Rattus norvegicus: one gene and its partners. The protein of the gene in region 3 purifies or fractionates together with the protein of the main gene of each other region. This does not show direct contact. Links are inferred from orthologs where the notes say so. Each region holds a gene or a part of one and is shown on either strand. Other genes may lie near its edges.

The links.
Region 1: the proteins of Xpo1 (region 3) and Bach1 purify together in Homo sapiens (affinity purification with western blotting; 3 studies listed by BioGRID, with this or other methods). This does not show direct contact. The link is inferred for Rattus norvegicus from reciprocal best matches to the Homo sapiens genes XPO1 and BACH1.
Region 2: the proteins of Xpo1 (region 3) and Rcc1 purify together in Homo sapiens (affinity purification with mass spectrometry; 3 studies listed by BioGRID and IntAct, with this or other methods). This does not show direct contact. The link is inferred for Rattus norvegicus from reciprocal best matches to the Homo sapiens genes XPO1 and RCC1.
Region 4: the proteins of Xpo1 (region 3) and Ncbp1 purify together in Homo sapiens (affinity purification with western blotting; 3 studies listed by BioGRID and IntAct, with this or other methods). This does not show direct contact. The link is inferred for Rattus norvegicus from reciprocal best matches to the Homo sapiens genes XPO1 and NCBP1.
Region 5: the proteins of Xpo1 (region 3) and Nmd3 purify together in Homo sapiens (affinity purification with western blotting; 3 studies listed by BioGRID and IntAct, with this or other methods). This does not show direct contact. The link is inferred for Rattus norvegicus from reciprocal best matches to the Homo sapiens genes XPO1 and NMD3.
Region 6: the proteins of Xpo1 (region 3) and Nup88 purify together in Homo sapiens (affinity purification with mass spectrometry; 3 studies listed by BioGRID and IntAct, with this or other methods). This does not show direct contact. The link is inferred for Rattus norvegicus from reciprocal best matches to the Homo sapiens genes XPO1 and NUP88.
Region 7: the proteins of Xpo1 (region 3) and Nup62 purify together in Homo sapiens (affinity purification with western blotting; 4 studies listed by BioGRID and IntAct, with this or other methods). This does not show direct contact. The link is inferred for Rattus norvegicus from reciprocal best matches to the Homo sapiens genes XPO1 and NUP62.

The regions. Positions count from the first base shown.
Region 1 is NC_086029.1:40,424,382-40,428,578, reverse strand, and holds the start of Bach1 (transcription regulator protein BACH1), read right to left. Parts: upstream 2,859-4,197; 5' UTR 2,772-2,858; intron 1,760-2,771; exon of another isoform or gene 1,464-1,759; intron 1-1,463. UniProt on the Homo sapiens protein: Transcriptional regulator that acts as a repressor or activator, depending on the context. Binds to NF-E2 DNA binding sites. Plays important roles in coordinating transcription activation and repression by MAFK.
Region 2 is NC_086023.1:149,825,550-149,829,798, forward strand, and holds the start of Rcc1 (regulator of chromosome condensation), read right to left. Parts: upstream 2,883-4,249; 5' UTR 2,850-2,882; exon of another isoform or gene 2,669-2,849; intron 1-2,668. UniProt on the Homo sapiens protein: Guanine-nucleotide releasing factor that promotes the exchange of Ran-bound GDP by GTP, and thereby plays an important role in RAN-mediated functions in nuclear import and mitosis.
Region 3 is NC_086032.1:101,461,917-101,465,515, reverse strand, and holds part of Xpo1 (exportin-1), read right to left. Parts: intron 2,355-3,599; coding exon 2,157-2,354; intron 1,481-2,156; coding exon 1,342-1,480; intron 1,157-1,341; coding exon 818-1,156; intron 723-817; coding exon 559-722; intron 1-558. UniProt on the Homo sapiens protein: Mediates the nuclear export of cellular proteins (cargos) bearing a leucine-rich nuclear export signal (NES) and of RNAs.
Region 4 is NC_086023.1:65,221,536-65,225,134, reverse strand, and holds part of Ncbp1 (nuclear cap-binding protein subunit 1), read right to left. Parts: intron 2,531-3,599; coding exon 2,423-2,530; intron 1,997-2,422; coding exon 1,875-1,996; intron 1,201-1,874; coding exon 1,131-1,200; intron 356-1,130; coding exon 140-355; intron 1-139. UniProt on the Homo sapiens protein: Component of the cap-binding complex (CBC), which binds cotranscriptionally to the 5'-cap of pre-mRNAs and is involved in various processes such as pre-mRNA splicing, translation regulation, nonsense-mediated mRNA decay, RNA-mediated gene silencing (RNAi) by microRNAs (miRNAs) and mRNA export.
Region 5 is NC_086020.1:156,332,865-156,336,463, forward strand, and holds part of Nmd3 (60S ribosomal export protein NMD3), read left to right. Parts: intron 1-3,077; coding exon 3,078-3,156; intron 3,157-3,341; coding exon 3,342-3,438; intron 3,439-3,599. UniProt on the Homo sapiens protein: Acts as an adapter for the XPO1/CRM1-mediated export of the 60S ribosomal subunit.
Region 6 is NC_086028.1:56,187,988-56,192,277, forward strand, and holds the start of Nup88 (nuclear pore complex protein Nup88), read right to left. Parts: upstream 2,843-4,290; 5' UTR 2,826-2,842; coding exon 2,523-2,825; intron 1-2,522. Other genes in the region: Rpain (RPA-interacting protein), read left to right, coding at 3,321-3,401. UniProt on the Homo sapiens protein: Component of nuclear pore complex.
Region 7 is NC_086019.1:104,434,528-104,438,864, reverse strand, and holds the start of Nup62 (nuclear pore glycoprotein p62), read right to left. Parts: upstream 2,838-4,337; 5' UTR 2,779-2,837; exon of another isoform or gene 1,254-2,778; intron 1,117-1,253; exon of another isoform or gene 1-1,116. Other genes in the region: Atf5 (cyclic AMP-dependent transcription factor ATF-5), read left to right, coding at 4,087-4,264. UniProt on the Homo sapiens protein: Essential component of the nuclear pore complex. The N-terminal is probably involved in nucleocytoplasmic transport.

The DNA of each region.
Region 1 (4,197 bases), on a different chromosome or scaffold from region 3:
CCTATTCCCACAGGATGTCCTCAAACCTACACACACACACACACACACACACACACACACACACACACAGAGAGAGAGAGACAGACAGACAGAGAGACAGAGAGACAGAGACAGAGAATTAAGACAAATATGTAAATAAAAAATTAGTGACTACCCCAAGAGGTTGGCAGTCTAAGAAACTCCACTTCCTAAGGATTACCTAAATGCACAGTTTTAAGAATAATCAAAAGAATATAAAAAGAGGGGGAATCCACAGGCCTCCAAAGCGTAAGAGAATTTTTACCTTAAAATTTAAAGTTTTTGTTATAAATATCACATCCCAAATTCTAACCACTACTGTTCAGATCACACACATTCACCAACCGCCCTAGGGGGTTGCCTACAAATCCAAAAAATGTTATCAAAATGTAACTTTTTTTAATCTCTATCACTAACTTTAAGAATGTAGTAAGAAATTTACATCTTCCGGTCTTTACGATACAAAAACTATACATGAAGTGAAAAGTAAGTACTAAGAATATTTTGAAATAACTACAGCTCTCAGGAAGAGATCAGAAAATACAGACACACACACACACACACACACACACACACACAGTGTCTGTTGCAGACTTGGAATAGCGGTAATAGCAGTGGAAAGCAAACTTTATCCCTCAACAGACAAAAGGGATGATGTGCGTATAACCACATTATCTAATATGCAGACATTGATGTCACTCTGCTTCTTTAACTTCTTGCTGTGGGTATTTTCATGTTAGATCAATCACTCTGTATACTCCCTGAAATCTCCTAACATCTTAAAAAGACATGTTGATAATCCCTAAATCTAAAGCAGCACACCAACTGCTTCCCTGCTACAGATGTTTGAAAGGAAAACCGTCAATAATAAAAAATTCAGTATCATCCTTGGGGACCATGCAAAGGTTGAGTGGTTAAAGGCACTCACCACCAAGCTTGATGACCTGAGGTCCATGCCCCAGAACCCACAGGATAAATGGAAAGACCCACAAATGCAAGTGTCAAACAAATAAATAATAAATAAATAAATGTTAAAAAATTTCATAAGAAGCCAGCTCTCCTCCCCTTCAGACACGTTTCCTTTTCAAACTTTACACGGAGGACTGGTGTGAGTGTGTGTTCATTTTTTTTTTCAGGCAAAAAAGAAATCCCACAAGATCCATAAAGTCAAGAGACATACATAGACCCCTCTTCTTGGGCTTGACCCAAGAAGACCTGCTGACTCTATCCTTTCCCACCTTTCTCCCCAAAAACTAGCTATGCGGGAAAACCTAAAAGCCCTAAAAGGAAATCCCCTTTGTGGCCTCATAAAAAAAAAATAACTTTTATAAAGAATAACTATGCATGTATTCACCACTCCGCATCAATGCTAACGGCAAAGCAAGGCCAGCAAGAGAAGGAAATGTTACAATACTGTTTTGTTACAATACTGCTGAATGCCTTACCTCTACCTGAAATCCCTCAGACACCGCTTCCTCCAGCACAAATTGATTCTCCCGCAGTAGGCCACGCGGCTGCTGTTTAAACACCACCTAGATGCTACTTGGCCACGTCCTAAGCATGCTCTCCCACGTCACCTACTGATTACCTGTATCAAAACACACAGCCCGCAGCTGGGCCCCCTCCGGCCTCCCGAAGCAAGCCCTCGTGTGTGCAGCTCACCCTTTTATAGTGGAGGCATGTGATGCGCGTATCTGCACCAGCTGTTCCTAATTACCTCTCAGACTGGGGTGAATGACTCAGCAACACAAACTCTTTTAAAGAGTCACCCTACCTTGTTAGCCAACCAACGTAGTGAACAAAGGGAAGCCACTTGACAGATCCGACGACGGTTAAACAACAAGAGTCGATCACTCCTCCAAAGCTACTCAACTCCAAGATGACTCACCAGGAGCCTTTTTTCCCCTAGACTCCCTTATGAGGTCCAAAGCCAGAAGTGGCAAGCGCCTTCAAGCCCAGCCCAGAGCTTGCACCACTACCACAAGAGCAGGAAGAATAGGCCAACCCATACCTCTTCCCATTTCTCTGTAGCGCTCAAAGGCTCGACCAGTAACAAATCTACGGTGCTCATCCTTTAATCTTTCTGAACTGCCTTCCCTGCAAACACAGTAGTCTGAAAGGAGTGCTCGAATACCTAAACAAAGACCCAGCAGGGGCATCCTCCGAGGCAAGCAGTCACAACACTACAGTTCTCCAAAAAAGAACAGCATCCTGCAAAAACAGTCTTTGTTCTTCCAAGCCTGTCGCAGGAGCTGGATTTTCCCACACACGTTCTTTCAGAATTACTACGTCTGCCTTGACTCAGCGCACGCTGAGCGTAGAGAGCTCACTACATAAAAGCCAGCGGCGCAATTCCACTAAATGACACCAAAGTACCGGAGAAGATCGAGAACGCGTTGGCCCTGGCGCTACCAGACACGAACACAAAGCTGATGTCTATCATCGAGACCCCACTCTGCCTATGCTGTGCGAGTCTAAATTACAAACGTGCGGCGAGCTACAACAAAGGGGAGCGCGGACCGCCGGCTGGTCCCGGAACCCCGGCCGGCTCGGCCTTGCCCCCGCAGCAGGCGGAGCGGGACGCGGCCCGCGGAGCGCGGTGCAGGGCGGCGCCGGCACGGCCGACCCGGAGTGTCCGCGCACCGCGTAAACAGCACGCAGTCCGCCGCCCCTTCTAGGCCCGCGCGGCCGCCCGCCACCAGCCCCGGTGACCCCCGGGAAGGACGGCAGCCCGCACCGTCCGAGCCACTCACCGGAGCCGAGGCGCGGCACGGCCCGACTGCAGGCGGCAAGCGGCGGTCAGGTGACTCACTCCCTCCGCGCGGACGGCCGCCCGTCTCCTCCCCTGCGCTCCGCTCCACTCCGCCACCGCCGCCAGCGCCTCCCGGCGCTAAAGCCCCGCCCCGCCCCAGGCCCCGCCTCCTGGCTGAAGCCCCGCCGAGCTCCAGGCCACGCCCGTGTCTGAGCCACGCCCCGCTCCAGGCCACGCCCTCCGCTGGTAGGATCTCTATTTCGCCTTGGGCGAACTCGGTGTAACGTTGTGGAGCAAAGTACTGTGTGCCCAGGCCTCCAACCGCGTGCCCTACCTCCTCTGCCTTTGGTGGCAAGGTTACACGTCCCGGGAGACCACCTCCTCTAACCTGCTGAAGGTAAAAAAAAGAAAAAAAAAAAGAAAAACCTGACGTCTCCACGACCCCTGAGTTGTTGTTCTCGCCACCCACACACAACAGATTAGGTTAGGGTCTTCTGCCCCACAACCTCCAGAAACCTCGGAAGTTCGGTTCAGCTAAGCTCCTGTGCTGCTTTCCTGTAGGAGCGTGAGAACCAAGTGTTTGAACTTGCCGAAAAGGGTGTGTCAACATCTGTCTGAAGCTAGGCAGGACTTTTAGGAGCAGATTCTGAGAGGAGAAGGCTGTTGCCCTTCTAAATGATCACTAACTCCCCTTCAAGTTGTTTGTGTCCGATGAGGCCCTTCCTCGAAAACCACAAGGCATGTATGTAACCTGGACTGTGCTTTGCTCATTATAACCCTTTAATATGCATGCTTCCCTGATCAAATCCTTTCGCTGCTTGTACTCAGCCCGACACTGCTTTGAGAGTAATTCCTGTGCCCTTCACAGTTGCCTGAATAATCTGCACTCTTATTTACTAGCTGTATTCACCAACAAGCAAACACATTGTACCGGCCTTTACATCCGGAATAATGTACTAAGCATCTGGTAGCCTACTTCTGTCCTTCTATGCTGTACCACCAGGAACCATGAACGCCGGTTCAATGTCCTGTTGATGTCAGCCATCGTTCCTCAAGTCCTGCCCCTGCTTTTATCCTCAGCTACTTATTTGAATGCTTGTCCAATTGTTCGTTTTTATTTTTTTTATTATGTTCACGGTTCAAGGCAGTGTCTTTCTGCAAGGCTGCATGCACTCTCCACAAGGCTTATCAGTCTGGAGAAGGGGTGTGCTGGGCTGACTGACCTGATTAGAAATGAGGAAGGAATTACCACCCCAGAGGCCTGTAGCCCCTGAGACGTGTAGCCCTGGTAGGATTTCTGGAAAGAAATCGTGTTGCTGGCTTTGAGTTCTAGTGGAAAGATGCAGAAAAATGGGTAGCCCCAAAATGCAATGTACTCCTTAAACACACATGACAGGCCAGGGGCTCCAGGCAAGGGGTTGCTACCC
Region 2 (4,249 bases), on a different chromosome or scaffold from region 3:
TGCTCTTCCAGAGGTCCTGAGTTCAATTCCCAGCAACCACATGGTGGCTCACAACCATCTGTAATGGGATCTGATGCCCTCTTCTGGTGTGTCTGAGGACAGCTACAGTGTACGCATAAGCAGTAAATCATGCTTAAAGCCTGCACATACATGAACTTGGTTATGGCCCCACTGCCTTCCCAGAGGTGCATTTTCTGGGTTTCTCACAAAAAGACAGTTCTGTTTACAATAAACTGAAGTCTCCACACCTCTAGGGTACAATCTGTCAGAATCTTACCCAGGACACCCCAAGGTCATTCCATTTCTCAGTCACTTTCTGAAGACTTGCTCTGTGTGTGTAAAGACAGTTACACACTGCTTGGAGAAGCCCGTGTGTGTGTGTGTGTGTGTGTGTGTGTGTGTGTGTGTGTGTGTGTAAAGACAGTTACACACTGCTTGGAGAAGCCCACGTGTGTGTGTGTGTGTGTGTGTGTGTGTGTGTGTGTGTGTGTGTGTGTGTGTGTATAGACAGTTACACATTGCTTGGAGAAGCCCATGTATGTACCCTTTCCCTGAGCACATTGCTAACAGTCCCTGTGCTTAAATCACTGGTTCTCAACCTGTGAGTCACAACCACTTGGGGAACTCTACTCAGTCCGGGCTTCTGGAAAAGCAGCCAGTGCTCTTAATGGGCCATCTCTCCAGCTTCAAAGCCATCTATTTTTAACTTCATGTGTGGGTTTGTGCATTGGGAATGCACAAACATGCAGACTGCAGAAGGTGCTGGAGCCTCTGGAGCTGCTAAATGTGGATGCTGAGACTCAAACTCCCGTTCTCTGAAGAGTGGTATAACCCTCACCCATCGAGCCATTTCTCAGGCCATTTAGATAAAATCTCCCCATGTGCTATATATATATATATATATATATATATATATATATATATATTTTTTTTTTTTCCCCCCACAAAACCTGAGGTAGAAAACAAGGTTAAAATTGTTGTTCTGAAGGAGTGGCACGTGCCTTTAGTCTGAGCACTCAGCAGAGTTCCAGGACAGCTAAGGTTACATAGAGAAACCCCGCCCCCCCCCCACCCAAATACCTCACCCCAGCAATAGATAAAAATAATATTGTTGCTCTTCCAGAGAAACTTGGTTGGAGTGCCAGCATCCACATGGTGGCTCATAACCATCTAAGTCCATTTCTCGGGGTTCCCATACACACGGTACACAAAAACACAGGCAGGCAACATTGACACATTAGTAAGGGGCTAGAGACATGCTTTGGCCATTAAGAGCATTGATTGCTCTCTCCCAGAGGACCCAGGTTCAATTTCCAGCACCACCCACATGGCAGCTCAGAAGTATAGGGCTCTAGATAGGGAAGCGGACACTTTCATAGTTACATGTGCACGCAAAACACTGATGCACAAATTATATACTTGAAAACTTTTAAAAAAAATAAATCTTGGGCTGGGGATTTAGCTCAGTGGTAGAGCGCTTACCTAGGAAGCGCAAGGCCCTGGGTTCGGTCCCCAGCTCCGAAAAAAAGAACCAAAAAAAAAAAATAAATAAATAAATCTTGAAAAAAATTAAGGAGGCGGGTTAAGACTTTAATCCCAGACTTAGGGAGGGAGAGGAGGGAAAATCTATGAGCTGGAGGCCGGCCCACTCTACAGAAGGAATTCCAGAATAGCTAAGGCTACAGAAACATTGTGTTGAAAGACAAAAGGGAGAGTCCAGCAAGTTATCAATAATCATAGATGGGGGATCGGGATTTTCTATTCAGGATTAAGCTATTAAATACTTGTGTCTAAGTGCATACATGCTCTCTCTGCATTTACATGCCTGTGTTCATGGAGCCCAGGGTATTAGGTGGGTGCTGCTATGTATCAGGTGCACTAACCACTGAACCATCGCTAACCCCATTTTTTTTTTTGTTTTTTTCGGAGCTGGGGACCGAACCCAGGGCCTTGCGCTTCCCGCTAACCCCATCATTAATCTCTTTATAAGACCCTGTTTGTGGCACACCTGTAATTACAGCACAGACAGGTGGAGCCTGAAGTCAACCTGATCTACAGATTTCCAGGTCAGGACTCACAGGGAACCATCTATTATACACTGGCTGGGATCTTAGCTGTTCTGTGTGCATGTATGGACATGCCACAAGAGGCCATCAGATCCCATCATAGTTCTGAGGCACCAAGTGGTTGGCAAGAACTGAACCTAAGACCCCCGGAAGAGCAGCCACCACTGGTAAGATTCCCCAACATTTTTAGGAGACAAGACTCACTGTGTAGCCCTAGATGGCCTCTGCCTGGGACTAACCTTTCCTGTTAATTTAGGGTATCATGCACAGTAAGGCAAGCATTAAGCTACACTCCCCAGTCCTGTATACTTATTAAGCATTAAATTGTAAGCATGTCTACGTAGCTGGGCATTTGAAGGTTACCAAGACAACTGTGATTGAGGACAACCTCTGAAACTGGGAGGTTGGCAATTCTGAAGCAAGGGTGCTTGCATAGGAACAGAAATTGTACTTTAAATCCAGGCAGCTCATCTCACAGAATGCAAGATTTAGTCTCTGACCTCAAGAAAAATTCCTCTTGCACCTTGAAGCCTAGGTACATATTCCTACCCAGGGTCCTCAAGAAACTTAAGGGCAGGTGAAATAGCTGAAGGCAGACTTACACACAGAACCTCCCAAGGTCACCGGATTCCACTCTGGAGTATAAACATTAGCTAGTGTCTATTGAGAATGCTGCTCCATCTACCCTTTCTGTCAGAGGGGGCCACAGATGCAAGTATTGCCCCACTGCAGGCCCAATTTATTTCCAAGAACAGGGAAACATACCAGCATCTTCAGGCCTACCTTCGAGGTGCCCCCTCAATGCCCCCATCATTGAGGGCCCTGACTGCTCCGTGGAGGCAGGCAGCAAGGAGTCATCAACTTCCCATTATGACCTCAGGATCTGTCCACCTTCTATCACAAGGCTACCCAGTTTTAGGACTGTCCAAGTTGAACTGCTTAGGACTAACCTCCCAAATTCACTTGACTAGTTTCCCACCCAACACTATCACCAGAGCAGAAGGAATGTAATTTCAGTACTTGGATGGATCAAACATTCACTCGGTTTATCTTGAACCCATCTGTAGCCGTCTGCATGCACACATTAAATCACAAGAAAAGGCATTCAAAAAGCTTTAATTCAAACTTGTCAGGCATATCACAAAGACTCATAGATTACAACTGGATCGAATAACCCATTCTGGATCTGAACTCATGGCTACAATCTTACAGAGAACATGGGAACAAAAAATATAAAGTTTATATAACATGGTCCTGGGGAAACCTCCTGGACCTCAAAAAGGAGAACCATGCTTCATTTTCACAAATCTAGACACAACCTGTATGGAAAATGTAATTGCCAGACAAAATTGAGTAGGCACAAAAGCTTGTCCAGCTTCCAATGGATGAGGCCATAATATGGACAAGATTTCACCAAGCTGCATATAATTAAAAGGCCTCAAAGTCTTTTATCAAGTAAATCAACAGGCACCTGTACAGATAGATCCTCTTCTTTCCTGAAAGAGGGGGAAAAAAAATACCACAAACATTACATTCCCGAAGGCGGCACAGCAAAAGTCTTATCACCTTTAAATTTTTGTTTCCTGCATGGTTTGTCTCCTCAGTCACGGTCCACAGGACTCTGAGAAGTCGTAGGAATATGCAGGCGCAGACTCGAAGCCCAGCTCCATCTCCAACGTTGTGGAAAGGGACTGTACATCATCGGGCAGTACCCTATGCTCCCGTACGCCACTAGGACAGAGCCCGGGGAGAGTGACCTCCCGGGGTATCCACGTTGGAATGTCTGGTTAGTACTCTAAAAATCAGTCAAACTCAACCAATACAGACTACACACACCCCAATTAGTGTCCCACCACTATTAACTTAGACACACGGAACAAAGAACGTACCTCAATGAGTTCTTTGGGATCACTCATCAATTCTGCAATAGAAGACACTCCGTCAGTAAATTAAACGCTTAAAGTACGCAGACCCACCCCCAGATTGCGATTTAAGACTGTTTCCTGCATGGTTTGTCTCCTCAGTCACGGTCCACAGGACTCTGAGAAGTCGTAGGAATATGCAGGCGCAGACTCGAAGCCCAGCTTCATCTCCAACGTTGTGGAAAGGGACTGTACATCATCGGGCGGTACCCTATGCTCCCGTACGCCACTAGGACAGAGCCCGGGGAGAGTGACCTCCCG
Region 3 (3,599 bases):
TCCATGCTCTCACGCACCCAAATAACGGAATACATGTAACCGAATGACAGACTTACTGTATTAATACTTATTTTCCCGATTTTGAGCCTGTTTCTGTAGCTTTGACCGTGTGGATGCATGTGGGAATGGGGAGCTATGTGTGCATAAGTGTACATGCCTGAAGAGACCGGAAGATGACAATGGAGAACTTCAAACCCTGAATTACAGGAGTAATTAAATCTGGATGCTGGGAACCCAAGTCCTCTCTACAAGAGCAGTGCCCACTGTGAAGTGCTAGGCTGCCCTCCACCCATGACCCATGAGCACATCACTTCTATAAACCACAAAGGACTGGGCAGGGACTTGGCACTTAGGAGGACTGGCTGCAGAGCCAGGAACACAGGTTTAAGCCCAATCACCCACACCGTGGTCAAGGTTGTAACTCCAGCTCCATGGTCTCTGATGCCCTCTTCCCAGCTTCTTCATGCACCAGTGAAATAGGAGGTGTACATGCATGCACACACACAAGCAAAAGCTCACACACGTTTAATAATAAGCACTATGATATGACATGTATACCTGCTGAGGCTGAAGATCACAAATTATAGTATTTATGTTGTTTAAAATCTCATCAATAAACGGCATTACTTCTCCAACTTGAACCTGAACAAAATGTCTACGGCATTTTTGAGCTATTTTAATAAATGTGTCACAAGCCATGTCCTGGACTCCATCATGGGTTTCTGGCAAAGTAAAAACATTCATTCATTCACTTTTGGTTCAACATAACAAATAAAAAGTAAAATTAGATACCATGAGTTTATTAGGTGAGACTTACCATGCATGAATTCGAAAAGCTTGTTTACTACTGTCTTCAAAAATTTCCAGTGTGCTCTCAGAAACCGTGGGTACTGGCCTACTATGTACATGATATTCGATGCAATGATGGCTTTATTATCCTTGCCTCTCTTCTGCTCACATAATCCTAAGAGGTCCTTGATAACAGTGACAAGGAACCGCTTCTCATCCTCCTCGTGCATCGCCCCACTGATGGAGCCTATTGCCCAGCACAGTGTATTCAAATTTTTCCATGACCATTCTGTACCATTCACTTGATTTTGAAGTTTCTTAGTCATTATTATTTCCGTATCTACATAATCCAGATGGGTAAGATAAACTACAAAAACCAAGAGAAAAATGCAGATGTTTCACATGAAAACAAAATTTTTTCTGCTAAGGTTTAAGAGCATACTGGTAAGCATATGGTTTCTAAAGGAGTCAGGTAAATGTAGAACTTGGACCAAACATTTACTTTTCACAAATATGGCAAAAAAGTATAAAAATTGTCATTTATTTACTTACCTAATGTTTCTCTCATATTCTTATACAAATTTATGGAATCAGTATCCTTCATGAACTCTCTTACAACTTCTCCCTGATCATTTTCTACAACCAGTACCTCCTCTGGTTTAGCCATGCGACTAACCATCAATAAACGAACCTATTGATCAATAAACCAGTAAAGGAACTGTGTTAAGACATTTAGAAGCCACATCAAATATAGGTCAACAGGACTGTGGATCCCTCCCCTATTTAGAGGCTAAGACTGGCTACCAAGTTGGAAATAAAACTTTCAATTAAGGCATAGCCAGCCATACACGCTGGTGAAAACCTGGGAGGCAGATCCACGAAGACCAAGAGGTCAAGGTCAGTCTCAACTAATTAAGACCTACCTACACTTTCAATTGCAAAATGCTTGGTTCTGTGATGCAAGTCTGTAATCTCAGCAGTGGGAAGGCTTTCTAATCTCAAAATTTACTCTTTTGGTTTTTCTGGATAGCCTTGGTTGTTCTCAAACTCGAGATCCACATCCTCTGCCTCCTGAGTGCTAGTATTAAAGGTCATCACCCCGTTTGATCTGTGTTTTTGATCCTATCAATAAACAGTCAACTTCTAATCTATAGACTTCATGTTTTATTGAATGACTAGATCGGGGATAGCCAATGAACAACATACACTTTAGTAAATCCAAATGATGCAAGGATGTTAGCTTAAAAAACATCCTTCTAAAACATTCTTGACAACTGGAAAACCTCTCAAGTTCTCTTCCCAACACTTTAGGCATCAAAGCTATAGTAAGGCTGGAGAGCGCTCACCACCGGTTAGTTCATCATTACCTTGGATAACACGGTCAAGTACAGCTGTCTCCGAGGAGGAATATCAAAGTGCTGACTTCCAGATAACAATGGAGAAGCAGATGTAGAAAATGGACTCTCTCTGTAGAGCTCAGCTGCCAAGTGATTCCAGTACTCAAGACAGATTTTAAAAATTTCAGTTTCTTCCACTTCAGACACCAACAACATGTAATGAAGAGCCTACACATTAAGACCAAAGGAATTAGTATTATCACAAAATTTTCAAATTGCTTCCCCAAACTTAGTAAGAATTAGAAACTAATATTCTGAATCTAGGCACATACATGCCTTTAATCCCATCCCAGCACTTGGGAGGTAGAGAGCCAGGTGGAGGTCAGTCTTGTCTACAGTGTGAGCTCTAGGACAGCCAGCCAGAGCTACAGAGGAAGCCTTGTCTCAAAAAGCAAAACCAAAAAACTATTATTTGAAATACATAAGGAGGGTGCTGGAGAGATGGCTCAGTGGTTAAGAGCACCGACTGCTCTTCCAGAGGTCCTGAGTTCAAATCCCAGCAACCCCATGGTGGCTCACAACCATCTGTAATGAGATCTGATGTCCTCTTCTGGTGTGTTAGAAGACAGCTACAGTGTACTCATATACAAAATAAAATAAAATAAAATAAAAAAATAAATAAATAAATCTTTGAAATACATAAGGAATTTCATTCCTCGAACAGACTGAAAACTGGCAGCAAATTTTTTTCTAACATGCCCTCCAATGTTTCCAGAGTACGTAACAATACAGACTCTTCACACAGCTACGCCCTATAGCTCTGGTGCCAGCTCATAGGAAGGCACAAACTGCACGCCATGCTCAGGAAACCACAAGTTTGAAGTCAGCTACAAGGCCATATGGTGGCAGATGATGGTAAAGCAGAGACTAGAGTCACAGAACTTTGAGAGTGGATGGTTATATATAACCCAATTTCACTCACACCACTACTTTGAGGACTTTGTCTCAACAAAATAAAATACTATAAAGGCTCAGTAAACACAAAACATGAACACGTTCAAAATGAAATATCGGGCTGGAGAGATGGCTCAGCGGTTAAGAGCATTGACTGCTCTTCCAGAGGTCATGAGTTCAAATCCCAGCAACCACATGGTGGCTCACAACCATCTGTAACATCTTCTGGTGTGTCTGAAGACAGTGACAGTGTACTCATCATATATAAAATGAATAAATAAAATCTTAAAAAAAATGAAATATCATATAACAATGAAGAGCATAGTAATGTCAGGGTTGGGGATTTCGCTCAGTGGACTAGCAAGTGGAAGGCCCTGGGTTCGGTCCCCAGCTCCGAAAAAAAGAAAGAGAAAAAGAAAAAATAAAAGAACATAGTAATGTCACAACATACTAAGGTTGGGGATTTAGCTCAGTTGTAGAGCGCTTACCTAGGAAGCGCAAGGCCCTGGGTTCGGTCCC
Region 4 (3,599 bases), on a different chromosome or scaffold from region 3:
AAGAGAATTTGTAAACTCAAAGCCAATCTGGAATCCAGAAACCCTGTCTCAAGATATCGAAGACAGAAGTCAAAGGAAACTAAGTCACAAGTACAGTTTGAAGCCAGGCCCTTCCGGGAGATCTCGGTCACTGACTTACCTCTGGGTCGTCTGTGTAGTCAAACATCCTGAAGATGACCCTGGGCATTGGGTACACGGAGTCTTCGGTGTGAGGCGGTGGTGTGAAAGGAGGCAGGTTGTGCTGTAGTGCTTCACAGAGGATGCTGTCAAAGGCAAGGTAGGGTCTTAGGATGTGCCTTTCCTGCCACCGGTCCTTTTTCAATTTCTGAATCTGGGCCCACAGGCAATCTAAATACTAAAAAGAGATTTTAATATTTAGTAGACACATTTTGGTTAAACAATACAGAAAAGTCGACCCTCTAGAATACACAACATGTATCAGTATGTCATATAGTAGTAAGGAACGGCATTTTTTGTTTTCATTTAAAATTACATTAATGTGCATGCACTTGCCACAGCATTGCATGTAGGTCAGAGGGCAGCTCCTGCCAGGGCCGCTCTCCCTCCGCAGTCCCGGCTCTATCTCAGGCCGCCCGCATTCCATTTCTCCTTAAGCAGTTTGTTTTCAGAAGCACATTTAGAGTTATTACTTCCTAGGTAAGCGCTCTACCACTGAGCTAAATCCCCAGCCCCACTTCTGCTATTTTTAAAACTGAGTATTTAGATATAAAACTTGTCAAGTCTGTGAAAACTGGTATTCTAAAAAGCAAAGGGGTGTTTCAATTACATTCTACCATCTACTAAAGAGCTCCGACTATGCTTCAGACTCTGAGGAAATGAATTTCTCACTGGAAACATTAGGAACCCAGCCAAGATGTACAGATGCAACAGTCAGAACATTTTCTAAGGCTGTGGTTTTACTCATTTGTGCAGCACTACAGAGCTCAGAGGACAACCTGCAGGAACCAGTCCCTCTTTCCACCATGTGGTCCTGAGAACTGAATGCCAGGCAGGGTTGGGAGCAGCACTTTTACCCACTGAGCCATCTCACTGACTCAGTTTAAGCATGTTACAGAGATCAGAATCCACTCAAGAGCTGCGTTTCTATTACAAGACGGAAGTCAATTCACCTCTTCTTGGGGGTGTGGCTTATCGGCAGTCCATACTTGTAACATGGGCACATGAGTCTTCTGGCGTCTTCTAAAGATAAAAATGAAAATCTACACTTAGGGTGTAAAACATAAAAGACATTCAATGGTTCTCATGATTAGCTAAAGCAATGAAAGACATCTCTGTCCATCAGATCAGCAGATCAACGTTTTTGATAATGGTCTACATATCATCAGGATATAGGCATTTCTGTATCTCAACCACTGATGGCACAAGGGTTAATTGGTACAACCTCAACTCTGGAAGAGATTATGTCTCTGGAAGACAATCTGACTACATATGTCAAAATTCTCAACTGTTCTGAATCTTTACCCAACAATGTCATTTCTATGTTTCTATGTCTATGTAATGTCATCAGTATCATGTCTGAACTTCGTCCAGTCAACTCAGCAGCCTGAGCAGAAGGGTAATTTTGAGCCACAGGTGACTCTCAGCTTAGGAACACTAGAGCCGCAGAGGCGCTGTCATACGCGGTGTTGAAAGGCTCGTTGCTAGCTTGATGCACTAACAAAGTCCTGAGGTCTTGTGAGTCACCGCAGCAGGAGAATGCAATTTAATGAACATTTTCTACAACTTTATGGTTCTGTTTTGTCTTTTAAAATGGAACTGAAACGGTGCTGCTGCTACCAGAGAACTTAAGGCACTTGTTGGGTCAGCAGACATCTTTATGCAAACAACAAAGCGCACCTGAGTGATGGCCTTACTTGAGATAGCTTTCGGTGCTGGAGAAGATGCGGTCCATTTCTGCATCTTTCTTTTCATACAACTCCTTCCCAACCCAGGGCAAGGATGACAGAAACGCGTACACATACCAATCCCGTCGCACCTGAACAAGTTTAAAAGGGTAATAAAAAAGTGCATGCTAGTTAATTTTATTTATTAATTATTCTTTCTTTCCACGGTTAGATGCTAGGCAAGCATTCTATAACTGGGCTAAACAACTCCCTTCCGCCACACCTTTTTTTATTTATAAATGCAATACTGGGGAGGCTTTTCAATAGAGCTTAAATAAAATATCTGGCTAACCCAGAGAATTTCCAAATATCTATTTCTAATCTTATTAAAATCATTTGAATTAACACAAAGATATCAAAAGGACCCACCAGTGAGACAGCTGACTTGCCCTTCAGATATTAAACATTACAGTGTGATAATGTTATTGGATTTTATTGCTGTTCTCAGTGGGAAAAACAAAAACAAAAACCTCAGTAACGGTGCTGCACAGAAAAGATTCAAGATAAAGGGTGCTTACTTGAGGCACATCTTCTTCCTGAGTTACACTTACAAAATTCTCAAACATAGCAACCATAGATGGGGCAGCAATCACATGACAGTTCACAAGATCAGACAGAAAACGGACCTGTGAGGGTAAACGATATCTGTATCAAACCTAACAGTCCTTCATAACTTACAAAACAACCTCATATCAGCCTACGAAACTAAAACCCACGCCTATACCCAGCTTACTATCTTCTTGTTTGTGGGACCTGTCAGCCAAGAAATCTTTAAATGTAAGGCTTAAAACAATATTTACACAAAGCGACATGAATTCAAATTTCAGTGCCCAGAAGCACACCTGCAGTGGGGGCAGCTCAGGCCCACTCGGTTACGTGCACTACAGCACACCAGGTTATGCTACATTTAGCACCCAGACATTCAAATACTCCAGTTACTCCATTCTACTGAAGTAGGTTGGTCTTTCTGTTTGGCTAGGAATCATTTTTGCTGAAATATAGAAACAGAAGTTTTAAATGAGAGACATTTACTGGGTGTCTGGTATGTGCCAGACTCAGTAAACAGTGCTCAGGAACTATTTTAGGAGCTCAGCCTATGTGGGACAACCACGAGCTAAACAAAAAGGGATCACTCTTGCACTAAAAGGTAAATTAAAAGACACATAAAGGCTCTGTACTGCAGAAAGAATCTAAGAGCCAGAGGTTGGGAGGAGTTTGTGAAATGCTGTCTTCTGGACAGGACATGGCCACAACACTCACAACCTTACAGCAGTTACACAAAACATATACAAAACTGGGCAGGTCAATTTTCCTTCACGGATAAGGACGGAGCCCATAAGGCCTCACCCTTTCCAGAAGAGCTACTGAGAGCTAACTGTTGAGGCTGGCTGTAGTTCTGTATTGTAATACTAAATACCAGCCCTGGTCACCTCAGGAACCAGGTCATCTTCACTTAACCAAGTGATACTCTGCAACCTTGCCCCACAAGTTATCCCCGATTGGTCAGTAAAGATGCCTACAGCAGGGCAGAAGAGAAATAGGTATGGCTTAGGTTCTAGAGCAGAGGTTAAGAGGGAGGAAGGGAGGGAGAGAAGTGAAAAGTGGGAGAAGATGCTAGGTGCCTACAAGGGCTGGCCAATTAGACTAAGAGTGCCCCAGGTGGAAGAAGGCAAATTATAACTCCTGGTTACTGAT
Region 5 (3,599 bases), on a different chromosome or scaffold from region 3:
GGGGTTGTCTCCATCATGAAAGATAGCTTAGTAATGTCTTGTGTATTAGTTTGTTTATTGGCTAATACCCAGGCAAAAGTGTGTTGATAAAGAAACTAAGCTGGGTGGTCCTGCATGCCTGTAGTCTTGACACTTGGGGGTTGGAGGCAGGAGGAACAAGCATTTGAAGGTCATCCTCTGTATAAGCAACATATGTCTGCGCAACATAAGAGTCTGTTTTGTGAAAGAAAAAAAAGAAGTATGAGACAGGGAACACATTTGTATTCTAGCTAAAGACCATGGTAGAAATTATTCCCACAGAATGCTTTGTTGTCAGAAGACTGGGTACATTTTAAAATTACTGCCAAACCCCAACACTGCAGGTATAAAAACCCTTCTTTCAACTAAAGTCTGTTTTCTTTACTAATTTAGTTGTACTTTTGTAACTCAAACAAAAATAATAATTGGAGCTGGAGAGATGACTCAGCAGGTAAGAGCTGGTGGTTCTTTTAGAGGACTGAGTTTGGTTGCAAACCCTTGTTTTCAGTGGTTCAAAATCCACCTGTAATTACAAGCTCCAGGGAGTCTAATGCTTTCTTTATCCTATTGGTACCTTACATACCTGTGCGCATGTGTGCGCGCGCACACACACACACACAAATAGAAACAAAGGGTGTATTTAAGAATCTAAAAATTCAAAGTATGTGTAAATAAACAGACCCTCCTGTACTTTGCCTTTATCCATGTGCCATCTCTAAAGATAATGTAATTCCTTAAAACAAAATATACTCTGAAAGTTCTAAGTAGTTGTCCTCATGTAGTGTTTCATTACTTTGATTTTTCTTTAACACATTTGGAAAAATTACCAATAATGCATATAGTTCCATTTAATTATTTTTAATTGCTGTCTGATAGTCCTTAGTCACTGGATATATAAATTGATTTATAATTGATATCAATTTGAATGGACTTCTAGTTATTTTTTACCCAGAATAGCATTGAATAATTATTCATATGTTCGTCTTTGTGCATGTATAATAGTTTTTCTTGGGAATTGATTGAATTGGAATGACTGCACAAAGAGAATCCAAATATAAATTTTGATGTCCCACAACAGTGCAAGTATACTTTCCCAGCACTAGTAAGCTTTCATTTGTCTAGATGTTTGCTGGTAATGGTTAAGAGAGTTACAAAGTTTGTCTTTTATTTTTCTTCAGTGTTATTAACTGTGCTTTTGAAGAACTTGTCCATTAAGCTATTTAGTTAGGCACTTCCTAGGCATAAGTCATTTCATTTCTTTTTAAGACATTGATCTCTTTCACATAGTTCTCCTATTTAATAATAATTTTTCATTACATTTATTTATGTATTTTTGTTTGTTCGGCCATATGCCATACTGTGGAATTTAGGAAACATCTGTCATCTTCAGGCATCTTTTGACCTCTGTCTTTGAGGCTATACTTATAGGTAGAAGTGCTGAGTTATATGGAATATTTATATTGATGGTTATGTTTGAGAAACCATATTTTCAAATGGCTGTGGTCTTTATATTCCTGACAGAAGTGTTGAAAGGTCCCAGATTCTGTCCTTTAATTGCTTGTTTATAGACATTGTAGAGGGGAGTCTGTAGTGATATCTTCCTGTGGCTTTTCCATTTCACTAAAGACTAATGATATGAGGCATATTCTACATATAAATTTATTGCCTATGTGATTTGCAGTATTTTCTCCTAGACTGTCTTCCTTTTCTAAATGTTGTTATTTTCTATTGTAAATACTTATTTCTTGTTTTCTTTTAAAATATATTTTCGACATGTATGAATGTCTTGCCTGCATGTATGTAAATGCAACATGTGTGTGTAGTGCCCACAGAGGCCAGAGGAAGACATTAGATGCTTCCTGGAATTGGACAGATGCTCCCTGGAATTAGAGTTACAGAGGGCTGTGAGCTGCCATATTGGTGCTAGAAACTGAACCAAAGTCCTCTGCAAGAGCCTCTTAAACTGCTTAGACATCTCTCCAGCCCCAGTTTTCAAGTTTGATGAGGTTCAGTTGTTGGGTAACAAGTTTTCCCCGGGGCTGGGAGGTGCAACGCATACATCTACTCACCCCAGATAGGGATTCCACTATGGACCAAAAGTTATGTCCACCACCAAAATTCAACTTGTTGAAGCGGTATGTTTTATTGGGGTTACTGACAGGAGTAGAAACTACTCAAAGTCAGCTGCATCACCAAAGCTCTCAACATGTGTGACAGCTCAAAAAGCTGGGAACCAGGACCATACTGTACACACAGGCCACTCAGCAGGTTGAAGAGTGTTCTTTCTAAGTGACTCATCTGGTCTAAACCTCTTCTAGGCACTTAAGGTTACAAAGGTATCCTATGTTTTATGTGCTTTACAATTTTAACTCATAGATCCTCACTCTTGAATTGATGTGAAGTGCCTAAATTCATCTCTTTTGGGACTGAAGAAATTATTCTTTCTCTATTAAAAAATGCCATTAATTGCTAAGTTCTGTTGATTAAATATCATAGCCTATTTCTGCAATCTCAAGTTTGCATGAGCTTATTATTTTATGCTAGTTCCATACTGTCTTAATTTTATGTCTAGAAATGTTAAGTCCTATGAATTTGTTTATTTTCCTTGGTATTGTTATACCTACTATGGGTAAATGAAGTTCTTATTTAGGTCTCATAAGTCCTTAGCAGTAGGTTTGTACTTGAGTGTTCCTTTGTTGATAGTGTTAAATGATTCTGCACTGAGATAGATATTGTTATCAATGACTGCTTTGTTCAGTCTCAGTATGTAATTTTTTCATGCATGTGATTTTAGTCATTTTTCTTGGCAGGTTTCATTTATTTCATTTATTACATAAGGTATTCTTTTTCTCTCTTGGCCTTGAATTTTGTTCTTGTGAATTAGTACGAATCTTGTTTTCATTTGTTAACATTTATTTTATTTGATTTTCATCTGCCTTTTTGCCAAAGAAGTCTTAATTGATATTCCTAAACTGTTTAGGCTATAATATTTTCTAATAGTATTGTGATGTGGTCCTGAAGAGGAAAACTCTTCAGAACTGTTTTTAATATTTTTTTAGATGGTCTGGATTTTTATTATTCTTCAAAACAGCATGCTCAGAAGATGGTGGAGTTTCTTCAGGGTACAGTTCCCTGTAGGTATGTTGTAAACCTAAATTTGTAAGTCCAAGGATATGGGAATAGGAAATATATAGGTCACACCTGTTCTTCAGTTTAGATAACTTACTTTGTTACAATAAAAATTTTAGTATGCACATTTAAACAATCATGAAATATTGAGTAGTCCATTTTATATTCTATTGATAATGTTTTTTTCTTAATAGATACAAATCATCACAAAGATTGATCTCCCAGGATATTCATAGTAACACATACAATTACAAGAGTACTTTTTCTGTGGAAATTGTTCCAATATGCAAGGTACTTCTTTTCATGTAATTAACTCTTATCTATAAGAGAATAATTTATTGGTTATAATTTATTGCTCCTGGTTTCCTATTGGCTGACTAAACAATAATAACTTCTTTCAATGACTTCTGACATGTTTAATTTTGTTAAAGATTCAAAATATATGTTTATAA
Region 6 (4,290 bases), on a different chromosome or scaffold from region 3:
GTCTCAAACATTCTAAATGCTCTTTTAAACTTTCTCATGACACAACCTAGTAGGCACTCCTAAATATCCTCTCTGTGTTCCTGGCATCAAGCAAACTCCTGATACCTAGTAAATAAACTCAGAAGTGTTAAAAGCTAACCATCTTATAAACAGCACTGTCGAGTAAAGAAGACAGGCCAAGTGAAATGGTGCACATCTTTATTCCCGCACTGGAGAATATGCAGGTGGCTCTCTTTGAGTTTCAGGCCTCCCAAGGCTACAAGTAAGGCCCTGGATTAGCTTCAGGAGCTTTGCAACAAGCAGTACTGCTTCACCTATGTGGAGTTAATAAAAGAGTGATATTTTAAGGGAGTGTCAATAATTTGTCATAGCATCACATATCCTCAAAAATACTCTGACACTGGTACTTTCTATTTCTTTTTTTAGGACCATTTTGGATTTCTATTTTCTTTTTATTCTTAGTAAGTAATGATGAGACTGTCAATGTCAATATATTATTTACCTTGGTATGGAGGATTATGCTAAGCCAAAACCGTTTCAAATAAGGCTTTCTTTGAATACAATGACATTTCTAATTGCTTTTCTATCTGTAGGCCCATGTGTCTTTAAATGTCTGTTGTACAGATGGGCAGTGGTAGTGCATGGCTTAATCCTGATCAGGAGCCTCCAGATCTGTTAGTGAGGTAAGCGTGCTCTACAGACTGAGTTCCAGAACAACTCAGGCTGTTAACTGTCTCAAGCCCGACCCCCACCTCCAAAGCTAGTCACAAACATTACGGAGCTCTTGCCTGCTCTAGGTTTACGTCAGATACTGGTCATAAAAAATAAAGGAGGCCTAGCCTCTGTTTTGGCGTTTATAAATGAGATAATACAACAAAAGTTTTAAAGTAATTATTACTGCATCGAATGCTACATAGCAATGAGATTGCTATTAACTGAAACTGAACACAGCATGCTGGATCCGGGTATCTACCTGGACTCTGGCTGGGGCACTGCTTAAGATTAGGAGCTTGTGGTCAGTCTGGTAACATAGGATTGTCACATACAGCCAAGTGTACTCTCTCTGTCTCCTTCTGTCTCTCTGTGTCTCTGTCTCTGTCTGTCTCTCTGTGTCTGTCTGTCTCTCTCTCTCACACACAAAAGCTGGCCTGACTCTGATCCGTAAACGCAACACTCATAGACTGAGGCAGGAGTTCTGGCTAACCTGGGCTACATAGTGATTCCAGACCAGCTTAAGCTACACAGTGGGACCATTCTCTAAAAATCAAAAGAAACAATTAACTGAAATAATTTGTGAGTTTCTGATACTTAATGGAAACTTGACAGTAGGTAGATATGTAAATGTTGACAGAGTTTCTCAACAGCACTGGCTGCACCTTACATCAAATCCAGTGAGAACTGGATCTTTTACATTGGAATGCCACATTTTGGGTTTTTTTTTTGTTTGCTTGTTCCTTTTTTTTTTTCCCCCTCTCTCTTTTTGACACAGGGTCTAAGTAGTCTCTGAACTATCTAGATCAGGCTGGCCTCAAACTCAAAAAGATCTTCCTGCCTCTGCTACCGCAGTGCTGGGATTAAAGACCTGTATCACCAGTCCTGGCTTTAAAAAAATGTCTTTACAAGAGAACTACAAATGAACACTTTAATAAAGTAATGATAGTTCTCACAGCAAGTCTAGAATACATTCTGACTATATCCACTTTGACATGCCATTCATTTGCTCGTCGATGCCAAAAAGGTTTGAGGATCTAGCTCAGAGTTCCAACTCCGGTGCGTTCCCTGGGGAAGCCAAAGGGGTGTGTGTGTGTGTGTGTGTGTGTGTGTGCGCTTGTGTTTAGTTCCCTGCATGGCAGCAAACGAACCCGTTAGTGAGAACCCAAAGGAGCAAAAAGCAGAAACAAAAACAGAACTTCCTTTTTCATGTCAAGCAGGCAATTTGGTTCTTTTAAATCTGTGTTAAAGCTCACAATAGGACTAGAGAGATGGCTCAGGGATCAAGAGCACTGTCTGCTCTTCCTGAGGTCCTGAGTTCAAGTCCCAGCAACCACATGGTGTCTCACAACTATCCATAGTGAGATCTGATGCCCTCTTCTGGCCTGCAGGCATACATGCAGGCAGAAAACTTTATGATGTATACACAATTAATAAAAAAAAAAAAAAAAAAAAAAAAAAAAAGCTCACAATAACCCAAAATGTTGGTCACCTCTTTAAACATGGTTCTTTTGGCCAAACCACTAAAAACATCTCCGCCAAACTTATCACGCTCTTTTCTTCAGAGCGCCGATCATTTATCATTTCACGGCCTTCTCCTTTCTCCCACTCAGAGCACCAGCACCTCTGAGCGTCTGATAGTGACCGAGACAATAAACTTGGTTCAGAGGAATAATAATGAAGGATGGACCTTTCCACTTGAAGTGGGGCGTTCCCAAAAGACGCCTGCTCAAGTCCGCTAACACACCCACAAGCAGCCAAGATGGGAAGCGAACTAAAAGGTTGAATGCTTTCAAGATAGACTGGCGCACCTGATACTGGGAGAGAGGGGGCTCCACGCTGCCACCACTGGGGCCTCGAAGGCGAACCACCAAAAAGGCACTGCCTTCTGCGTCCCACAGGAACAGTTCCCCTCCGAGGCCGAAGACCAGGTTTCTCGTCGGCAAATGCGGCGGCAGAGGCGGGCATGAAGGTGAAGTCGAAGTCGCTGGTTTATCCGCTTCGGCTGGACTCTGGTTTTTCAGACCTTCGCGGAGTCGCAAGAACACGACGTGGTTAGGAAGCCAGCTCTGCCACAGCTCCCCATCGCCCACAGGCCCCGCGGCAGCCGCCATCTTGGACCAACAGCTCTCGATTGAGGGGCGGGGGGGGGGAAACTCATGCTGCGCGTAGCCAATCCGTGGCCAGCATTCCACGCTTTAGCCTATAAGAGAGTAGGAATCCCGAGGAGTTGACCCAATAAGAAAGCATCGCTAGGGGAAAGACAGGGCTGCAGGTTGACGCCAAAGTGGGCTGGGCGGGGCGGAGTCAAGTGTGGGTTTAGGGAAGGCTTTGGTGCTACTGCTGGGCCAGTGTGTAGTAGCATTAAGAATGAGAGAGGTATATCTGATTGTCTACTGGACACCTTCCTCTGGGTAAACCCAGAACTTTCTCTCAAGACTCTCACCTTCCTCAGCCCACTTCTCAACTGCCACTGCTTCACCCATCCTTGGATTTCCCTAAATCTGTCTCTGTGCGGAGATAAGAGACTAACGCCCAGAAACTATAACTTCCAGAATCCTTTGCGTGCGTACAGGGGGCGGGGATTTGGGCGTCGCTTAAGGGATGAGATGGCCGAATCCTCGGGGTCTCCGCACCGCTTATTGTACAAGCAGGTGGGCTCGCCCCCGTGGAAAGAAACTTTCAGGCAGGTGAGTCTGAGGTTTGGGTCGTAATCACTTTTCTAACCTGTCCCAAGGATCTCTGTGTGCTCGCTTTAGCATTCGTCGTGGAGCAGGTGCCCTGTGTGATCTTCAACTCAAGTGTTTTGCTTTAGGACTGGGTCCTGGCTGCCGCCCTCTTCCTCCCGGGCTTTTGGCCCGAGTAGGTATTATTTTATCCCAGGATCCGACTTTGTTTAAAATTTTAAGTGTCATTACAGCAGTAGCAACATCACCACCTAACGTTGGGTTACAGAGGGAAGCACTCCATATGCACACATGGCGTGAGGAGTTCTTTTCTGAAGAGTCAGAAGAACATCAGTCACTGTTAGGAGAGTTGTACGTAAGCTCTCGTATCTTCTGAACTCAAGTAGTATTTCCCTGTTTGAAGCAGTATTTCCCTGTTCAGTAGTCTCTAAAGGAATGGGTGTATTCCAGAAGAACAACCCAGAAAAACAGTACTGAAAATATTATGTGTAGTAGTGTTTCTCAACAGTGAATGCTGACATTTTGAGGAGAAAGTTCTATTATGGGAGATTGTTCTGTACGATGTAGAACACTTAGATGCAGCATCCTTGGCGCCTCTACCTACAAAGTGGCATCAGTCAATAGCAGTTCTTCAAGCAGAGCTGAGACAACCACTTGGGGGTGGAGAGATCGCTCAACGTTAAGAGCACTTATGCTTTTGCAGAAGACCTGGTGGCTGTAACTGGTGTGGTGCACATAAACTCATATAGGCACACACATATACATGGGACCCTCCCCGGCCCCCAGGTTGTAAAGAACTATTGTACAAGAAGACCATTACTATAGCCATGGGTACAGTTGCAGGAATTTAGAATCCATATAAATGTCTGAAGTTAGTCTGTGGATACAGTTA
Region 7 (4,337 bases), on a different chromosome or scaffold from region 3:
TAAAGAAACTAGGCTGCCATTTGAGACTGGGTAAGGGTTATAGACAAAGAATAACACACATGTTGGACACATAGCATGGGCTGGGTACTGGCCAAAGCTCAGGGTGGCAGGCCTCCAAGGATGACCACCAAGCACAACTGAAATTAAGATGGGTTTAGGGGTGGGGGAAGCATCTGGGTGGGACCCCAGGACAGAAAAAGGTTGTGCAGCCTTGGCTGTGACGGAAGCACCACAGGGAAGAGACTATGAGCTGGTACCCACTCTGCACTGTCTTTGAAACCTATCTCATTCCAAAAGTTTACTTTAAAATACTAAATTCAAGGAAAGGAGGACCATAGGCATTGCAACATGGCATACTGTTTCAAAAATAAAAAAGGGCACCTGTGGGGCCCAGGGATGCAGCTCAGGTGGTAGAATGCCTGTCTAGCATGCAATGCATGAAGCCATGGGTCCATTCCACTTCTGTATTAGTGGCAGCCTTTATGCATCAGTATCTAGTCTAAACAGACTCCACACAGAATTAATGCAGCCCATAGCTGGTAAGCTAGGGCTGGAGTCTGAACACATCACATCTCATGGTTACCTGTACTGGCAGCAGATACGAGTGCCCACTCCAGGCTGGAGAGATGTCTCAGCGCTTAAGAACACTGACCCGGGTTGGGGATTTGGCTCAGTGGTAAAGCACTTGCCTAGCAAGCGCAAGGCCCTGGGTTTGGTCCCCAGCTCCGAAAAAAAGAAAAAAGGGGTGGTGGTGGTGGTTGGGGATTTAGCCCAGTGGTAGAGTGCTTGCCTAGCAAGCGTAAGGCCCTGGGTTCGGTCCCCAGCTCTGGGAAAAAAAAAAAAAAAAAAAAAAAACACTGACCCATCCAAAGGTCCTGAGTTCAATTCCCAGCAACCACATGGTGGCTCACAACCATCTGTAATGGGATCTGATACCCTCTTCTGGTGTGTCTGAAGACAGCTACAGTGTACTCATACATAAATCTTTTAAGAGAGCCCACTCCAAGAGTAAAATTGCCAAGGACTTCCTGCTTGTAACTTTCAAAATCAGTTTTCCTCACCTGCTCCAATCTTTTTTCTTTTACAGTACCAGGAATAGAAACCAGGTCCTGGAAAGCAGCACTCTAGCCAATACTCTGCCACCAATCCCCCACCCCCAGCCCAGTATAATTGTTTTTTTAAATCAGGGTCTTTGTAAGTTCCCTAGAAGGCTAAGAACTCACTTTCTAGTCCAGGCAAGCCATGAACTTTTTTTTTTTAAATCACACTCCTAGTCAGCATTCAGACCTGTCACCACACGTGGTGATGGTGAAGGCCAGAGGACAACCGTCTGTCTATAGAGTTGCTTTTGGGTTCTGGGGATGGAACTCAAGAGGGTTGGGTTTAGAGATTACCACCTGAACTATCTCAAAGCAGCTCAGGCCCTGACCTTGACTTCCAATACTCCCGCCTTGGCCTCTTAAGTAGGTAAGATACCAGGCCTGGCCTTTGAGCTTTTTCTTTTTAAAAACACACTGAGGCCAGCCAGTATGACCTTGAATTCATGATTCCTTCTGCTTCCATCTTCCAAATGCTGGGAATATAGACAACTACCAAGCACCGTCCATGTGGTGCTGGGTGCTAAGGTTCTTGTGTGCAACAGGCAAGCACTCTTGAGTTCCATCTCCACCCATTCAGTCTCTCAGCTGCTACAAATATGATAGGCTGACTGGCTTCCACATGGAATGACGGCTATACTCGAACACGGGGCGGAAAACCGCCCCATCATCCTGGGGGACAGACAGGATCAAGAAACAATTTATCTAGTGGGGTCAGCAAGAGAGCAAGGACTGCAAGGAAGTCAGAGCAAGGGGCAAAACCTAAGAGGGTGGCATGATGAGCACAGCATGTAGCAAGTAGGGATGGCTGGAAACAGAAACCTTGGAGGTGGGACACACAGAATGATCATATGGATATGTTGGCTGGCTAAGAATCGGGGGTAGGGAGATAAAAAGGGGTGAAATCAGGCCCCCTCCCAGGGGTGGGGGCTTAATCTAAAAGAAAATAAAACGATTTTAGTAGTAGATGAAATGACTCAGTGGAGAAAGGCTGCCAAACAATCTGACCTGAGTTCCATCCCTGGGACCCTACTATATAGTAGGAGAACCAACTCCTGCTAGCTCTTCTTTGACCACCACATACATACACAATAAACGTTAAAACAAACAAGAAGGTTTAAGAGTCCTGATTAGGACTCCGTGGCCTACTTTCCATAGCTGGTATATTTGTGCGTATATCTATAAACAGCGACATCTCGCTGTTGCTCCCTTGAACTCGTCTATGAAGCCTAAGCTAGCTTGAACTCGCCATTCCGCGATGAGCTTAACCCACGAGGTCTCTCGGAGCGACATCGGTTTTAGGGACTGGTGGCAAATTTGTGAAGCAGGGATAGATAACGGGATGAGCTGGTTACGGGTGTAAGAGAGATCGAATAGGATCCAACCGATACAGGAAACAGAGTCCGGGCCCCCAGCCTGAAGCAGTGAGTGAAGGGTCAGGGCGACATGGCGGGCCCGGGGTCGCCACCGCCCCGTCGGGGCCCCGCGAGGGCGGAGCGCGGAGGGATCCAGGCATCCCGCGCTGCGCCGCCCCCGGTATATTTGTTCCCAGGCCCCGGGGCCGCCTCATTTTCAACCCTCTCAGCAGTCTCCCTTAACGCTCCTGCCACGCCGCCTCCGCCCGTGCAATGGCTCTGTAGCCGCGATCTCGTCGTGTCCCCCGCCCCGTTTCCGCGCTCACCGCGACTTCACTCTCTGCTCACACCGACTCTTCAACTGAGGCCGCCGCCGCCGTTGCCTCCTCTCCTTTTCGCAGCCATGGAGTGAGTAACCGCTCGCCCCTCCCTCTCCAACCGCCTTTCCCGCCCTTTCACAGAGCTCGCGGGGCTTCACGGGTCAGCCTCGTGGGGAGGGGGTGGGGAAGACGATATGAGGAACCACGGTCGCGCAGGCGCAGAAGAGGGAAGTCGGTGGCCGGCGCATCCGCTGAGCAAGCGCACTAGGCTCCAGGCGTGGGGGAGGGTGTGCTTCCGCAGAGTCTGGGGGCTTTTAAGGTCGGTTCGCGCGCCATTGCGCCTGCGCACTAATTCACAGACCCTCTTCCTCCTTTCCCCTCAGAGGATACGAACCCACACTCTATTGCGCATGCGCATTACCTTATTCCCGGCCTGAACTACGGAGGGCGGCCGGTAATTGGCTAAACACACGCACTGGTCCCCCCAGGAGGGTAGTGGCGTAACAATGAATCCGGTCCAGGGTCTGAGCTTTCGTCTTGCGGCTTAGCGAGCAATCAGCGAGGAAGGGTGGAGTTCCTCGAGGCTCTGACACTGGTCCAACTTCCCTCCAATCAGGCACCTGCTGGGGCGGGGACTGGCTTAGATTGACAGGGAAGGCTAAAGAACACCTTTAAGAAAGACTTGGAGCTAGAACCAAGGGGCGGGGCCTCTAGGGACTTGCTAGTTGGGGGCGGGAACTGACTTGACAGACAGGAGTGTGGGCGGGGCTTCCCGTAGAATCTGTAGAAGTCACCTAAAACTTTTAAGGGAAGAGTGGGATTTGTGTGTGTAACACTGATGAAGGGCCCAAGGCATGGCAGAATTATTCTGGGAACCCCTGTGAACTCTAAAGGGCGTATAGTCTAAAGAAAATATTGATGCGGAAGGGGCACGGCTAGAAGAAAATAAAATTACCTTGGGATTGAATTTTTTTACGAAGAGCAATAAGATGAGGTAGGTAGGAGGGGCTGGAAGTAATTCCCCTGGGAGAACACTAGGTTTCTGTGTTGAGGGAGGAGATGGGGCTGGGGAGTTTCCAAAAGTTGCCTTGGGAATGTATGGAGCTCTGGAATTTGCAGAAAGAAGAAAAGTGTGGGTAGCTTGTGGGTCAAGCAGCTTTGACTCAACCCCACCCACGCCACCTTGTCTTCCTCACAGGCCCTCCACCTTCGCCTTGGTGCCTGTCTTCACCCAGCTGAACAATCTTCCACGCTGCCTCCCAGTTGTTGGTGCAGCCTCCATTGCCATCGCAGCCCTGCACCTGTGCCTCAGCCATGTCACTCCTGGCGACCCTGGGACTGGAGCTGGACAGGGCCCTGCTCCCAGCTAGCGGGCTGGGCTGGCTCGTAGACTATGGGAAACTCCCCCTGGCCCCTGCCCCCCTGGGCCCCTATGAGGTCCTTGGGGGTGCCCTGGAGGGCGGGCTTCCAGGGGGGGGAGAGCCCCTGGCAGGTAAGAAACAGGTGAAAAAGAGAGGTGGGTTAAGGTGGCGGGGTGTGGAAGGACAGAAAAGGAAGGATTTATT